4 linked regions of the Sus scrofa genome follow. Each later gene encodes a partner of the first gene's protein in a complex. Links are inferred from orthologs where the notes say so. Each region holds a gene or a part of one and is shown in the gene's direction. Other genes may lie near its edges. The genes, in order: OBSL1, MYOM1, CUL7 and CCDC8.

Region 1 (3,561 bases):
AGCCTGGGAACTTCTGTATGCCATAGGTGCGGCCCTAAAGGCCAGCAATAAATGAATAAATGAACGAATAAATAAATAAATAAGTGCCAGTGAGAGGGAGTGTCAGGGGTAGCTGAGAAAAGGGCTGCAGTGTGCTTAGCACAAGGCCCGGCCCACAGTTAAGTGCCCATGGATTGAAGGTCCTTCTGTTCCCAAGAGCTGCACTGCAAAGGGAGAGGGCTGAGAACCTAGTGGTGAGGCAGGTGGAGCCCACTCACCCGTCTCGGTCCACCCCCCAGCCCCCCCAGAGAGGATTGTGCATCCAGCAGCTCGCGCCCTGGACCTGCAGTTCGGGGCTCCAGGGCGTGTGGAGCTTCGCTGCGAGGTGGCCCCAGCTGGATCCCAGGTGCGCTGGTACAAGGATGGGCTGGAGGTGGAAGCATCAGACGTCCTGCAGCTGGGTGCTGAGGGGCCCATTCGCACCCTGACCCTGCCCCATGCCGAGCCTGAGGACGCCGGGGAGTATGTGTGTGAGACTCATGATGAAGCTGTCACCTTCAATGTCAGCCTGGCTGGTGGGCGCTCCTGGCCAGCCCAGGGGAGGGGGGAGGCGGGGCGTTACCGAGTCAACACCACCGCCTCTCTCTGTCCAGAGCCCCCTGTCCAGTTCCTTGCCCCAGAGGCAGCCCCCAGCCCGCTCTGTGTGGCCCCCGGGGATCCGGTGGTGCTGAGCTGTGAACTGTCCAGGGCTGGCGCCCTTGTCTTTTGGAGCCACAACGGGAGGCCAGTTCAGGAGGGCGAGGGCCTGGAGCTCCATGCTGAGGGCCCCCGCCGCATCCTCTGCATCCGGGCTGCAGACCCGGCCCATGCGGGCCTCTACACCTGCCAGTCCGGGGCAGCCCCGGGGGCTCCCAGCCTCAGCTTCACTGTCCAAGTGGCTGGTGAGTATAGCCTGGGCAGGAAACCTGAGAATTGCACCCCCAAACCCATGAGTCTCCCCTTCTCCAGCGCACCTTGCCCTCCTTGCCCCACTACTCTCAGTCCCTTTCCCCATTTTGCTTCCCACTGCCCGCCCCCAGCCCTTGAATCGCTTCCTCACTGTGACCCCCAGCTCTGACCCCACAGAGCCCCCTGTGCGGGTGGTGGCCCCCGAGGCGGCCCAGACCAGGGTTCGCAGCACCCCAGGCGGGGACCTAGAGCTGGCAGTGCACCTCTCCGGGCCGGGGGGCCCTGTGCGCTGGTACAAGGACGGGGAGCGCCTGGCGAGCCAGGGGCGGGTGCAGCTGGAACAGGACGGGGCCAGGCAGGTGCTGCGGGTGCGGGGGGCACGGAGCAGGGACGCTGGGGAGTACCTGTGCGACACGCCCCAGGACAGCCGCATCTTCCTCGTCAGTGTGGAAGGTAACACACCCTTTGGGCCCTGGCCCCCAAAGGACCGCAAGCCTGTACCCTTCTGGGTCCCCTCACCCCCTACCCCACCTCTCTACCTCTGGCTCCACATGCATGCATAGCTTTGGGTGAGAGCTCAGGGCTCCCTTTCCCAGGTACCTGCAAATAGGAGGCAGCCCAGCCCAGTGGTTCAAAGCAGGGCTCTGGAGTCAGAGCTCCCAGGTTCCAATCTGGATTCTGCTTCCCAGTAGCTGTGTGACACTGGCGAGTTGCTTAACCTGTCTGAGCCCCAGCTCCAAAGTGGGGAGAGAGTGCTTGTCCTATAGGGCTGTCGTGACAGTTAAATGAGATAAATTGGGACCATGGTAAACCATCCATTATTATTAGGGGGTCAGAGAGGTGGGTGCCAGGCCAGCATTGAAAGGAGCTGGCTAGGAGTGGCAGGGAGTTGACATCTTGTCTTTTGGGACATCTCATGGCTGACACACAGCAGGTCCTCAGGAAAGTTTTGTTTAATAATTGGAGGATGCAGGCCTGTATCCGGAGGTGGGGATGAGAAGGAGGGAGGGGGGAAGACCCAGCCCGCCTCACCATCTGGCCCTGCCCCCTCAGAACCACCGCCAGTGAAGCTGGTCTCAGAGCTGACACCCCTAACTGTCCACGAGGGTGATGATGCCACATTCCGGTGTGAAGTCTCCCCACCAGATGCCGATGTCACCTGGCTGCGCAATGGGGCTGTTGTCACCCCAGGGCCCCAGCTAGAGATGGCCCAGAATGGGTCAAGCCGCACCTTGACCCTGCGAGGCTGCCAGCTTGAGGACGCAGGGACCGTGACTGCCCGAGCAGGGGGCACAGCCACAAGTGCCCGGCTCCATGTTCGAGGTTTGGTCCTGATGGAGACAAAATCGTCTTGTTTCTGAACCTATTCTCCCAGCCCCAGCCCTAGCAGGGGGACAGATCCCTAAGAGGGAGCAGGGAGGGGGTCAGCTTCCAGGCTCCCCTAAGTTCTATGGCCCCCTCTTCCTTCCTCCCCAGAAACGGAGCTGCTGTTCCTGCGGCGCCTGCAGGATGTGCGGGCGGAGGAAGGCCAGGACGTGTGCCTCCAAGTGGAGACTGGCCGAGTGGGTGCAGCAGGGGCCGTGCGCTGGGTGCGAGGGGGGGTGCCCCTCCCCCCCGACTCCCGCCTGGCCACAACGCAGGATGGCCATGTCCACCGCCTCCTCATCCACGGCGTTGTACCAGCTGACCAGGGCACCTATGGCTGCGAGAGCCACCACGATCGCACCCTGGCCAGGCTCAGCGTCAGGCGTGAGTGCCCCGTCCTCTCCTAACACACACCTGCCCCATGGCACAGCCTCTCCTGGCTGGCCCAGAGCCCCTCAGACCCCCACCCAAGTGCCCCTCACTGCAAGGCAAGTTAGCCCTGGCTGACCCCCAGGAGTGTGACCTGAAGCATCGTGCCCAAAGCAAAACTTTTCTTTTTCTAATGTTTTCTGTTTGCTTTAGAAGTGCATGTGAATTTTGCATTCCATTTCATATGTCCAAGTTGGCTTTGCTATAAACATAAATATTATACTCCAGAAAGACTTGCCGTGTTTATCCCTCAGTTGTCTGCCCGAGGACGCACGGGCCCAACTGGGAAGCAGGGATGGTTGGCAAAGGGCACCCCTACCCCCAAGACAGAGCACACTCTATTAACTGTGTGACCTCAGGCAAATTACTTACCCTCTCTGAGACAGGTCTTGAAAACCATGCTGATCCTTACTTCAAGAGGCTTTGGGAACATTAACTGTGATAATATGAGAAACACTCACCCAGAGCTTCATAAATGGTTTTTGGGGGTGACTTGTATTCTCTGAATGTATTTCACTCATTTAATCACAATAAACCCCATATCTCAATGCTATTAACATTGTGCAGCTGGAGAAACTAAGGCCCAGAGAGGCCAAGCAGTTTGCCAAAGATCACATAGCACACAAACATGTGGCAGAGCTAGGGTCCAGTCCTGATGTGTCTGCCTCCAATTCTGTTCTCCTTCCAGTATCACAGACCCCCCCAAACCTCTCACCCCCCCAAACCACACATCACCCCCTTCCTGTGTCCCCTCTCTTAACTCTCTTAAGCCCCTTTTCCTCACAAGTCAACCGGCTCTGCTCCCTTCTTTCTCGTCCCTGGTTCTGAACTTGGTTCAAT
Region 2 (4,171 bases), on another chromosome or scaffold:
TTGAAAGACCATTTGAAAGCATCTAGTTTCTTACAGACAAAATATCATCGGAGGGAGGATAAGGCAACACATGACAAAAAGAGCATGGGCTTTGGAATCCACATATCTCTGAATGAACTGCATTTATGTCGTTTACTAGCTGTGTGCTCTTTGGTAAATGACTTTACCTCTCGAAGCCTCAGTTTCCTCAACTGTAGCCTGAAGCTAATGCTACTTGCCTTACAGGGCATTATGACCATTAAATGGGATCACACAAAGTGCCTACCATAGTGTCTGGCACTTGATAGGTCCTCAACAGTGTTAACTGTCATTGTCATCAAGAAAGGGATTAGAAAGTAGGTCCTAATAGTGGGTCTGTTCAGTATTTGGATAAATACAGGTGATCTGTATTTAGGTGCTCTAGTATCAGAACATAACCTGCTCAGTACCTATAATCTGAACTTTTAAATTACTACTATCAGAACAACAGTTGACATTTACTGGGTCTTCATTATGTGGCAGTCGATAGGTGAGTGCTTTCTCTGTGTTATCACGTTGATTTCCACAGCAGTCCCATAATTTGGACGTTATTATCCCCATTTTATAGAGAAGGAAAATGAAGCTTAAAGAAAAATAAATTGCTTAAAGTTACATGGCTATTAAGTGCCATCAACGGTCTGGAATTGAGGTCTGGTCTGAGTCTGAAGTGCAAGCTCTAACCACCAGGTTTTACCACCTCTGAATTTGTGAAATAGTTGGAAAAAACAAAGAAAGAGAAGTGATGTTAGATAGACTGACCCTACTCTGGCTTTAGGAAAGATAAAACATGTTGCTTCCTAAAGGCTTTAATGACTGGGGAATCAAATACTCAAACTTGAAGCTATGACCTACTTTGTAAAATTTTCCTGAAATGAGAGAACTGGTGACCCCCGAATCTTCGATCCAAAATTTCTACCGCCTGTAACCCATTTCTTACTTGTTTGCCTCTAGTTAGCCTCATGTTCTTTTTTCACCTTGTGTCTTTTAAATGTACATGCATTATGAACAGCACATCCAGAACGATTATCTTGGCATTTACATTCCATGAAGTCCATTTTGGGAATCAGATTACTACATCTATTTTTAGCTCTCAACACAAACCACTCTTTCCATTACACTTTCAGATAACCAGTAATAAAATGATATTGAAAATAGCCCTTATACCCAAATAAATATCTCACATTTGGTTTAATCAAGCCAGACCCATTGACTGGCATTAATGTAATTACATTACCCAGGCAGCTACCTGCCAGTGCCTCCCTCTGCCTCTCAGTTTAGGACTACCCTTCCCATTTGCTGCTATATTTATCTGCCTTCTTGGCCATAAAAGGCTGGCTGTGTGGCTCTGACATTCTACTGCCTGACCACATGCATTATTTTTGAACTGGCCCCCAGGGTCCTGTCTTTAGCCCTGCTCTTAACTTTTTCTTGGATTCAGCCTCCGTGGGTTATTCATTCTCTCATCCAGCTCCACGGTCACGTCGGAATATTTCCACCACTGCCACTCCTCTGCAAACTGGTAAGTGTGACCTTGGGGCAGAAGAATGCACTTGATATTTCATGTGCTTAGCAGCACCACGGTGTGTGTGGTTTCTATCTTCTGAGCTCAGCAGTTTTGTCAAAGAGATGTCAGAAGTGCAGGGAAATAGGAAAGTGGGGCTCCTGGGAAGGAAAACGAGCAGCAGGGTGCCGGTTTGTGCTGGCACAGCTCTTCTCTCAGCTCAGCGGCTTCTTCTAAAATTAAGCTGCTGTTCCTGGAACCATAAGGAGATAATAGCTGTCTCAGATGGAACTGTAAGTGTGAGTCAAGTGCTTCTTCCAAATTACAGTTCAGTGGTTTGGTTGAAATCTGGGATGAGTGAGGTAACAGGAAATCATGTGTTTTCTATCCTCCATACGCCTACAATGCTCCTTGATTACAAATTAGATCAAAAGGAGTAAATGAACTCTGAAGTCACTAGTTTCTAATTTGCTCCAACAATGCCATGTGGATAAATGTAAGAGTGCACTGTGGTATTTCTCCTATGAAAACGGCTAAGCAGTATTTCACAGGCAACATAAATTCCCCACAAAATGGTCCCAAAGTTAATATTTACTGTGAAGAGTTTTTATCAGCTTTCAGCCTCTAATGCCTGTACAAAATATCATTCATGTCACAATTCCAACCATGGAGTTAGTATTTCTTCCCAAATTCCCAAATTATTTTCAGGAAGAAAAAAGGTCTTAAAGAAATAGGAGACAACCAAACCACCTTTCCTCCCAACACACTCTAGCTGTCATGTGTCGGGGATAATCCTCATGTACTTGATGAAGAGAAGGTAGTTGTACCTTCGTTCCAGAGGTCAGAGCTGTGACAACCAGCTCTGTTGATGTAAAGCCAAAGCCTGTTTACTTGTAATACATCATCTACGTGCCTAGAAAATTAAGTATTATTCAATATGTTCGGGGAAAACAGAAATAAAGAGAATGGAAAACAGAGTTGAGGCAAGACAGTTAAATATTTTATTTTGTGAAAATAATAGCATTTCAAGTTATTTTGGGTTCTGAATTTAGCTTATAATAATACATAGAAAGGTCATGCAATATTTATTTGGATATCATTCAAATAGCATTTGCCATGTTGCAGGGTAGTATGTATCACTATAGAAACATCTAATAGCTTTATAATTGCTTAGTATCATAGACGACTATATTTGTATATTCAACTCTTGTTTTATCAAAATTTATCTAGTGATTATTCCTTATATCTGAGAATTGTTCTGTACATTTTAGAACAGAAAATAGCAAAGCGTTTGCTATTTAAGGGTTGAAGCAATGTTGCTTGCTAGTAGCTATTTTTTTCCTCTTGGGAAATGCCATGTAGACTGATATCTTCCATGAGCCCTAACATAAATATTTCTGGAGTGAAGTTTGCTGGATTTGCTTCTCTAGGGAATACATGCTGACCTTTTAGTTTAAATAAAAAGTAGATTTAAACTTGACAAAAAGTGTGGCAAGTTTAGAAGAATTCAATCCTCCTTTATATATATATATATATATTTTAGGGCCGCACCCACGGCATGTGGAAGTTCCCATGCTAGGGTTTGAACTGGAGCTAGAGCTGCTGGCCTGTGCCACAGCCACAGCAATGCAGGATCCGAGCCGCATCCGCGACTTACACCACAGCTCACGGCAATGCTGGATCCTTAATCCACTGAACAAGGCCAGGAATCAAACCCACAACCTCATAGTTACTAGTCAGATTCATTTCTGCTGCATCACAACAGGAACTCCCTAGAATTTTTTTTTTAAAGATTTGAAAAAGTGATTACAACTAATTTTACTTGTAAAATTTAAAATCAGTGTTTTAGAGCATGCACAAAAGCATTAAAAATGGAAGAAAAGACTTCCATAAAACTATTTCATCATCCAGGGGTTGTCAGTGTGGCTGATAGGCTCCTCTCAGTGGACATATTATTCAAAGAAAGATAATGCAATATGAAGTTTCCCCTCCCTCTGCTAAGAAAACTTTGACTTTCAGTAGGACTTTTAGCTCAAGTTCACAGTGCAAACTGCTACCCTGATGACTGATTTTCTGGCTTCTTTATGTAGGAAGACTAGAAACCTTCATCTTCTTAATGGAATTCATATGATTTGACACTATACCTTTTTGAAATGTTTGTAAGATTTGAGAGAGCTTATTAAATGCCAATATAAGCAGCCTCCTAGGGTTCAGTCCTAGGACTTTCATTCTCATCTACTTTGTGGCTTTGAAATTTATGTATATGCTGTGAGTTTCAAATGTAGGTCTCCATCCTGGACCTTTGCCCAGTATTCCAAAGTCAAATAGCTAGCTTCCCACTTCATGTCTCCACTAGGATATCCAGCAGATATCTCAAATGTAGACTGTCTCAAACCAGACTCCTGTTCTTCCATCCTGAACTGCTGTTTTCTTGTACTCTTGCTCATCTCAGTTAATAGCAACTCTAGGGAGTTCCCTTATGGCTCAGCAGGTTAAGTACCTAGCATTATCACTGCTGTGGCTCGGGTCACTGCTGTGGCACAGGTTTGATCCCTGGCCTTGGAACTTCTACATGCCACAGGTGTGGCCAAAAAGAAAAAAAAATAGCAACTCTAGTCCTCTAATCACTTAGGCAAAATCCTTGGATTCATC
Region 3 (3,561 bases), on another chromosome or scaffold:
GCTTTTTACTCTGCTTCGTAGATAATGTATTTTTTAACTTTTTTTTTTTTTTTTTTTTTTTTTTTTGCTTTTTAGGGTCACACCTGTCACATATGGAAGTCCCGGGCCAGAGGTTGAGCCTCTTGGGATTTGAGCCCTGTCTGCGATCTACACCACAGCTCATGCCGGATCTATAACCCACTGAGCGCGGCCAGGGATTGAACCTGCATCCTCATGGATACTAGTCAGGTTGTTTCCGCTGAGCCACAACAGGAACTCCTTAACCTATTGAAGGTTTGTGGCAATCCTGCATTGTTAGGTGATGGTCAGCACTTTTTTTAGCAATAATGTATTTTTTTTTTTCTTTTTGCCATTTCTAGAGCCGCTCCTGCGGTCTATGGAGGTTCCCAGGCTAGGGGTCTAATCAGTAGCTGCCAGCCTACACCAGAGCCACAGCAACTCGGGATCCGAGCCGAGCCGGGTTTGCGACCTACACCACAGCTCACGGCAACGCCGGATCCTTACCCCATTGAGCAAGGCCAGGGATCAAACCCGCAACCTCATGGTTCCTAGTCAGATTCATTAACCACTGAGCCACAACGGGAATTCCAGCAATAATGTATTGTTTAGTTAAGGTATGTACATTGTTTTTTAGACATAATGCTATGTATACTTAATAGACTACCAGAAAATGTAAGCATACTTTTATATGCACTCAGAAACCAGAAAACATGTGTGACTTTATTGTGAGCCTGGAGCCAAACGAGCAAAATCTCCGAGGTGTGCTTCTGTCTCTTCATGCTCAGTTAAACTTTGGATGTGCTGAATGTGAGAAAACATTTTTCAGTATTGTTCTCATTGTCAATGCGCACAGCTGTTAATGATTTCAGTTTTAGAAAATCGTTGAGCAGGAATTCCCGTCGTGGCTCAGCCGAGAGTGAACCTGGACTAGCACCCATTAGGACGAAGGTTCGATCCCTGGCCTTGCTCAGTGGGTTAAGGATCTGGCGTTGCTGTGAGCTGAGGTGTAGGTGGCAGATGCAGTTCAGATCCCGAGTTGCCGTGGCTGTGGCTGTGGCGTAGGCTGGCAGCTTCAGCTCCGATTCGACTTCTAGCCTGGGAACCTCCACATGCTGAAGGTGCAGCCCTAAGAAGACAAAAAATTAAACAAAACAAAACAAAACCCTTGACCCATTGATGAAGCTGCTGGCCATGTGTAACTCCCTCCTCAGGCCCTCTGCTTCTCCCACTCACCTCCTCCGCTCTCTTCATAGTTTTCCTGTTCTCTTCCTGCTGCCCAGGTGAGTGAGCAGTTTGCCCGGCACATTGACCAGTGTATCCGTGGCAGCCGGAATGGTGGGCCCCAGGGGATGCTGGCCCAGCTACAGCAATGCCTGGAAAGCGTTCTGATCTTCTCTGGTTTGGAGATCGCCACCACTTTCGAGCATTACTACCAGTGAGTGTGGACCGAGATAGTGGGCAGTGGGGGGAGGCAGGATGACAGGCAGGGCCAGCTCTGGGGTCCCTGAGCCGGAGGCCGCCCCATGCCAAGCCCCTACACTGAGGCTCGGCCTGGGCTCTGCGCCCTGCAGGCACTACATGGTGGACCGTGTCTTTGCCGTGGGCTTCTCGAGCTGGCTGGAGGAGGTTGCACTGGATCAGATCGGCCCCTGCTTCCCCAACCGCCTCCCCCAGCAGATTTTTCGGAGCCTGAGCACCTCGGAGGAGCGGCAGCGCCAGTTCCACGTGTACCAGCTTCAGCGGCTTGATCAGCAACTCCTGAAGCTGGAGGGCACAGAGAGGAAGATCCAGGTGGGTGCAGGGGAGGGGAATTAGCAAGTGGGTGGGTGGGAGGCAGAGACAGAGGCACAAGCTGGACCCAAGGAGCCCACTGGCTTTGGGTGCCGTGTGTTCCACCCTCAGGTGGGCTGTGAAGCCAGTGGCAGGGGGCACACAAGAGGGAATGGAGAGGAAGCTGAGCTGGAGGTTGGGGTGGTGGCAGAGGCAGTAGCGGCGATAGCCGAAGAGGCCGAGAAGGAGGAGGATGACAACGAGGACGAGGACGACAACGAGGACCTCTACTATGAAGGGGCGATGCCGGAAATGTCTGTGCTCGTGCTGAACGGCTCACCCACTGGCTCCATCTGCCACCCGCTCAACCCCAGAACCTGCTTGCCCGCCTACCTGAGGGACACCTTGAACCGATACTCCAACTTCTACATCAAGAGTGAGCAGCGGGGCTGAGGGAACTGGGGGCTGGAAAGAGGATGGGATAAGAACCTGGGCTTGGGGGCAACCCCTGGGGCTGGCAGCCTTGATGGGGTGGGTTTGAGAAGAAGGGGCAGCAGCTTGGGTTTGAGGGGAGGGTGGGACTATGGGCACCTGATCCCAGGCTGTTGCCCTTTCTGTCCTTAAAATGAGACCCAGGACTCTCATGGGTGGTGGGGAGGATGGAGGCGAGAGGCACCTGAGGCCACCAGGAAGGGCTTTCCCTCCATGTAGGTGTCTGACTCCTGGTTAGTCACTGTAACCTACGTTTCCCACTAGAGGCTGATCCTGGGCTGGGCAGTGACAAAGGAGGGGGACACTTAGACCCTGCCCTCAAGGAGCTCCTACACTTGTAGGGGAGACATTGTTTCCAGTTTGATGAAAGCCCCAGTCCTTCCTCATTATGTTTTTTCCTCCCTTAAAACAGTGGGGAACTCCTTGGAGGCCCTGATCACAGCTCGCCTGGCACAGGGTGGGCTCCCAGATACTCAGGCCTCCTCGGAGGCAGACACACAGAAAGCTGAGCTGTGAAAGCTCGGGCCAGGAACCAGTGTCCACAAATGCTGGGCCCCAGGCTCTGCAGAGGGGACAAAACTCCACCTATAGCATGTCCTCCCCAGCCCTTGACCCCTCCTCCTCCCTGATGCTCCTCAGGTCACAGCTACCCTGCTCTAGAGCGGGGCCCACATCGGCGACTGCAGTGGACATGGCTGGGCCGGGCTGTGCTGCAGTTTGGGGACCAGACGCTGCAAGTGACCACCGTGCAGATGTGGCTGCTGCTGCATCTCAACGAGCTGCAGGTGGCCCAGCCCTCGCGCCTCCCTGCTCTCTCGCCTGGCCCTCCCCTTTCTTCCCTTCCCCCTCCTTGTTCCACCCCCTGGGGAAGCCCTCATGCTTCCCTCCTCTTTTTTTTCTTTTCAGGGCCACACCTGCAGCATATGAAAGTTCTCAGGCTAGGGGTTGAATCGGAGCTGCAGCTGCTGGCCTACACCACAGCCACAGCGGCGCCGAGCTGGATCTGCAACCTACACCACAGCTCTTGGCAATGCCGGATCCCAGACCCACTAAGCAAGGCCAGGGATCAAACCCACATCCTCATGGATACTAGTTGGATTTGTTTCCGCTGCACCACAATGGGAACCTTCCCTCCTCTTTCTAAGGCCGTCTCCGTGGAGCGTCTGCTGGCGCTGTCCGGGCTCTCTCCAGATGTGCTGAATTGGGCAATTAGACCTCTTGCCTCTTCAAGGGGCCCCCTGGAACTTCATGAGCCAAAGGACGCCCCAGGAGGTCTGTACTTAGGGCACTGGGGCCTCT
Region 4 (4,195 bases), on another chromosome or scaffold:
TACAATACCATGCATTGCAAAACTATCCTGAAAAGGGTCCTTGACATGGAAAAGGTTAAGAATTCCTAAGCTAAAGGGTCCTCAAGAGGGTAGAGACTGCTCAGTAATTTGGGGAGGGTGCAGTATGACCTCTGAAGTGATAACCTTTTGCAACACCCTAGCGCCTAGTGCTTAAGGATCCAGTATTGTCACTGCTGTGGCATGGGCTAGATCCCTAGCCTGAGACCTTCTGCACGGCCAACAACAAAAAAAGATGACATTTGAGCAGAGGGAGATTGCCAAGAGAAGGTAGGGGCAGAACTTTCTGGGTGTTGGGACCAGTGATGCAAAGGACCTGAAGGTGGAGGTAAGCCCGATTTATTGGATGACCAATGAGGAGGCAGGTGTGGCTGGAGTGGAGTGAGGAAGAGAGAAAGAGAGCGGGAAGTGGGACTTTGTGGGTGATGGCGAGGACTTTAAAATTAGAGGAGAGGAGTTCCCGTCGTGGCGCAGTGGTTAACGAATCCGGCTAGGAACCATGAGGTTGCGGGTTCGATCCCTGCCCTTGCTCAGTGGGTCGGGGTTCCGGCGTTGCCGTGAGCTGTGGTGTAGGTTGCAGACGCGGCTCGGATCCCGAGTTGCTGTGGCTCTGGCGTAGGCTGGCAGCTACAGCTCCGATTCGACCCCTAGCCGGGGAACTTCCATATGCCGCAGGAGCGGCACAAGAAATAGCAAAAAGACAAAAAAAAAAAAAAAAAAAAAAAAAAAATTAGAGGAGAGACAGATCTGGCTTAAGTTGCTAGGTTGGGGGTGGATTGATTATAGGCAGTGAGAAGGAAGCAGGGAGCCCCACGAGGAGGGATTTGTATGGATCCAGGCAAGCATTGAGGGCAGCTGGACATGCGATGGCTTTTAAGGGGTCAAACAGCCTAGCACTCTCAGGAGGACGCAGATCAGCTGTATCTTCAGAGCCTGGAGTTAGTTCTAACGTCTGGGATCTGGTTCAAATATCTGGCTCTCCACTTCGAACTGTGCAATCGGGGACCAGCCTCAGTGTCCCCAGCTGTAAGGAGATGATAGTGAAGGCATTCACCTTTCGGTGTAGCTCTGCAGATTCATAACAGGCCCACTCAGGATGCCTGGTTTCAAAGAAAGCATCCATGCAGGTTAACCGTTATTATTACTAAGGCAGTTGTTGCTGTGCATGTGGTTGCCTCACAGTTACCCAAGAAGCTTTGCGAATCCTGACCCTTTAATTTAACTTATTTCAATTAACATTTTTGAGGTATCTGAGGTCCTTCAATTTAATTTAACTTATTTCAGTTAACATTTTTGATTGTTAAAAATTGAAGCACTCCAAAATGATAGAGTGAAAAGTCATGTGAAAAGTGAAAAGCCACCTCCGGGGTCCCCAGATATAGCCACTGTTGGCAGTGCTTCTACACATGACAAATGTATGTATACACCTAGGCCCTTTGGTCTACACACACATTAGACTGTTTCAGAATCAAATCCAGGTTCAGTCTTCTTCCTGGCCATGTGACCTTGAGCAAGAGATTGATTTTATTTCCTCAGCTGTACAATGGGAATGAGCATCGTATTATCTGTATCCTGATGTTTTTGTGTGAATTTTATGAGTTAATTTATAAAAAGCACTTAGCATGGTCCTTCGTACGTAGGAAGTGCTCCCTAAAATGTGTTTATTCTCAGTCACTTCTCTTTTTCATAACGGCCTAGTATTTCACCGTTAGTCCCTACCGGTGAACAATTAGGTGCATTCATTCACTCAAAAATATTTCTTGAGCACCTACTCTGTGCCAAGCCCCATGATGAGCTGCAATAAGACCTTGATACCAGGTTCTTCACCCACATGTCTGGGTATATGGCTAGGAACTGCCGGTACCCAAAGTCACTTAATTTTAAGATGGTACTATACTGTCAGTGGCTTTCCAAGGGATTGCCCGATGATGAGCGCGCCCACCTTCAGGGCTGGGCTGGAACCCGCACTTTTGGGACGGTAGTTTCGGGAACTGCTGCCTTTCTCAGAGAAAGCTGCTGACGTGGGCGTCGGCACCGCAGGCCTTTGGCTTGGAAGCCGGGGCCCCTGAGAGGCCCGGGGCGCAGCCACACCCCTGGGGGGGAGGGCGGCGAGGGCGCCCCAAGGGGAGTGGACAGCCCCCCTGTCAGTCTTCCCCGAGTCCGGGAGTGTAAGCCGAGCAGGGAGAAGGTGGGCCTCATCCAGGGGGAAGGCGAGGAGGAACTTCCTGCCCGCGCGCGCACTCGCCGGCCCTGGGCGCGCAGGCTGGGGGCGGAGGCGCGTCAAGGTCAGCCTGGACCGAGGTGGCAGCCTGCCTAGGGGCGGGAGACCCTCCTGGGGAGCTGGCTGCGGCCTCCAAGAGCCTCGGCCATATTGAACAGCCACAGCTGAGCCGTCTTTGTCTGCAAAGTCCTTTCCCAAGTTCCAGGGACGTCCCCTGTGCCTGGCACAGGAAGAGCCACCAGCAGTCCTTACACTGAGTTGGAGCCGGGACACCCATTTACAGCTTGCGGCGGGCTTGGAACCTTGAGACTCCGACTCACGTAAGCACCCTGAATCGATTCCCACCAGTCCTTGAGGGGAGCGAACTGGATCACGACCCGACTTGTTGCGGGCAGAGAAACTGGGAGGTGAGATTCCCGGCCGCGCTCTTGGGACCGCATCCCCACCCCAAGACTCGGCGCTGCGAGTAGTTTGGGCTCCTTGCCCGCACTTTAGATTTCACCCTGGAGATCTTAAAGACCCTCGAGAAAAGCCACGTGGGGGGCTGGTTCCCCTGGGGCTTCCTCCCTTCCCCTGATTGCCTGATCCTCTGGAGCGTCCCCGACATCTGCAAAGATGTGGATTTGGACGTCCTCGTGGAAGCCTTGAAGCCGGTGGGGACATTCAAGAAGATCGGCAAGGTGTTCCGCCGCGAGGAGGACTCCACGGTGGGGATGCTGCAGATCGGCGAGGACGTAGACTATTTGCTCATCCCCCGCGAGGTCAGGCTGGCGGGAGGCGTCTGGAGGGTTATCTCCAAGCCCGCCACCAAGGAGGCGGAATTTCGGGAGCGGCTGATCCAGTTTCTGGAGGAAGAAGGCCGCACCCTGGAGGATGTGGCCCGCATCATCGAGAAGAGCACCCCCCACCCGCCCCAGCCCCCTAAAAAGCCCAAGGAGCCCGGATCGAGGAGGAGAGTCCCGCAGATGGTGACGCCACCTCCTCGGCTGGTCGTGGGTACTTATGACAGCAGCAATGCCAGTGACAGCGAGTTCAGCGACTTTGAAACCTCCAGAGACAAGGATGACAAGGACCACAAAGGCACGGGGCGTGGAAGGAGGCTGCGCAAAATGCCTGTCAGTTACCTGGGCAGCAAATTCCTTGGGAGCGACCTGGAGAGCGAGGATGACGAGGAACTGGTTGAGGCCTTCCTGCGGCGAGGAGAGAAGAAGCCCAGTGCCCCGCCGGCCCGCCGCCGTGTGACCCTGCCAGTGCCCATGTTTGAGGACAATCCGGGACCCCAGCTGTCCAAGGCTGATAGATGGCGGGAATATGTCAGCCAGGTGTCCTGGGGGAAGCTGAAGCGGAGGGTGAAGGGCTGGGCACCGAGGTCCAGCCCAGGGGTGGGTGAGGCCCGGCAGGCCTCTACCAGGGTGGAGAGGGATGGCGCATCGGTGCCAGGCAGCTCAAGCCTCGGGGAGGACAGGGGAAATGCAGGAGATGGGCGGGTGCCTGAGAATCCCCCAAGTCGGTGGAGACCCAAAATCAATTGGGCCTCCTTCCGTCGTCGCAGGAGGGAGGAAGCCCCAACTAGAGCTCAGAGAACAGAGGCTGCAGATGATCAGAGGGCAGAGGTAGTAGTGGTCCCGGGGGCAGAGGCCATAGCTCTCCAGGGGGCAGAAGCTGTGGATAATCAGAGGGCTGAGGCCCCTGCTGCTCAGGGGGCAGAGGACCCAACTGTCCAGAGAGTAGAGGCTGCAGATAATCAGAGGGCAGAGGCCCTAGCTGTCCAGGGGGCAGAGGCGCCAGCTGTCCAGAGGGCAGAGGCCATTCCTGACCAGAGGGCAGAAGCTGCATGTAGTCAGAGGGCAGAGGCCCTGGCTGTCCAGGAAGCTGAATCCTCAGCTGCTTGGAGAGCCACAGGGGCAACCCCAGGAGCCAGGACCCGGAAACCGGTCAAGACAGTGAGGTTCCAGA

Evidence for each region.
Region 2: the proteins of OBSL1 (region 1) and MYOM1 are in contact, whole or in part, in a crystal structure (PDB 5FM5), measured with the Homo sapiens proteins. The link is inferred for Sus scrofa from reciprocal best matches to the Homo sapiens genes OBSL1 and MYOM1. Residues at the interface, in NP_056126.1 of Homo sapiens: Pro243, Lys253, Phe255, Val257, Asn258, Gly260, Lys261, His262, Ala263, Lys264, Phe265, Arg266, Cys267, Tyr268, Val269, Met270, Gly271, Lys272, Pro273, Pro275, Trp279, Lys305, Tyr308, Tyr317, Cys319, Ala321, Arg322, Asn323, Ser324, Ala325; in NP_003794.3 of Homo sapiens: Arg616, Pro617, Ser618, Ala619, Pro620, Trp621, Thr622, Gly623, Gln624, Ile625, Ile626, Val627, Thr628, Glu629, Glu630, Glu631, Pro632.
Region 3: OBSL1 (region 1) and CUL7 share a complex: the UniProt entries of both Homo sapiens proteins name them as parts of the 3M complex. The link is inferred for Sus scrofa from reciprocal best matches to the Homo sapiens genes OBSL1 and CUL7.
Region 4: OBSL1 (region 1) and CCDC8 share a complex: the UniProt entries of both Homo sapiens proteins name them as parts of the 3M complex. The link is inferred for Sus scrofa from reciprocal best matches to the Homo sapiens genes OBSL1 and CCDC8.

What each region holds. Positions count from the first base shown.
Region 1 is NC_010457.5:121,564,254-121,567,814, reverse strand, and holds part of OBSL1 (obscurin-like protein 1), read left to right. Parts: intron 1-278; coding exon 279-554; coding exon of another isoform or gene 555-632; coding exon 633-920; intron 921-1,104; coding exon 1,105-1,380; intron 1,381-1,980; coding exon 1,981-2,250; intron 2,251-2,403; coding exon 2,404-2,676; intron 2,677-3,561. UniProt on the Homo sapiens protein: Core component of the 3M complex, a complex required to regulate microtubule dynamics and genome integrity. It is unclear how the 3M complex regulates microtubules, it could act by controlling the level of a microtubule stabilizer.
Region 2 is NC_010448.4:103,449,984-103,454,154, forward strand, and holds the start of MYOM1 (myomesin-1), read left to right. Parts: upstream 1-1,356; 5' UTR 1,357-1,537; intron 1,538-4,171. UniProt on the Homo sapiens protein: Major component of the vertebrate myofibrillar M band. Binds myosin, titin, and light meromyosin. This binding is dose dependent.
Region 3 is NC_010449.5:38,098,716-38,102,276, reverse strand, and holds part of CUL7 (cullin-7), read left to right. Parts: intron 1-699; exon of another isoform or gene 700-801; intron 802-1,233; exon of another isoform or gene 1,234-1,280; coding exon 1,281-1,435; intron 1,436-1,571; coding exon 1,572-1,791; intron 1,792-1,902; coding exon 1,903-2,206; intron 2,207-2,901; coding exon 2,902-3,534; intron 3,535-3,561. UniProt on the Homo sapiens protein: Core component of the 3M and Cul7-RING(FBXW8) complexes, which mediate the ubiquitination and subsequent proteasomal degradation of target proteins. Core component of the 3M complex, a complex required to regulate microtubule dynamics and genome integrity.
Region 4 is NC_010448.4:52,473,165-52,477,359, forward strand, and holds the start of CCDC8 (coiled-coil domain-containing protein 8), read left to right. Parts: upstream 1-1,343; 5' UTR 1,344-2,952; coding exon 2,953-4,195. UniProt on the Homo sapiens protein: Core component of the 3M complex, a complex required to regulate microtubule dynamics and genome integrity. It is unclear how the 3M complex regulates microtubules, it could act by controlling the level of a microtubule stabilizer.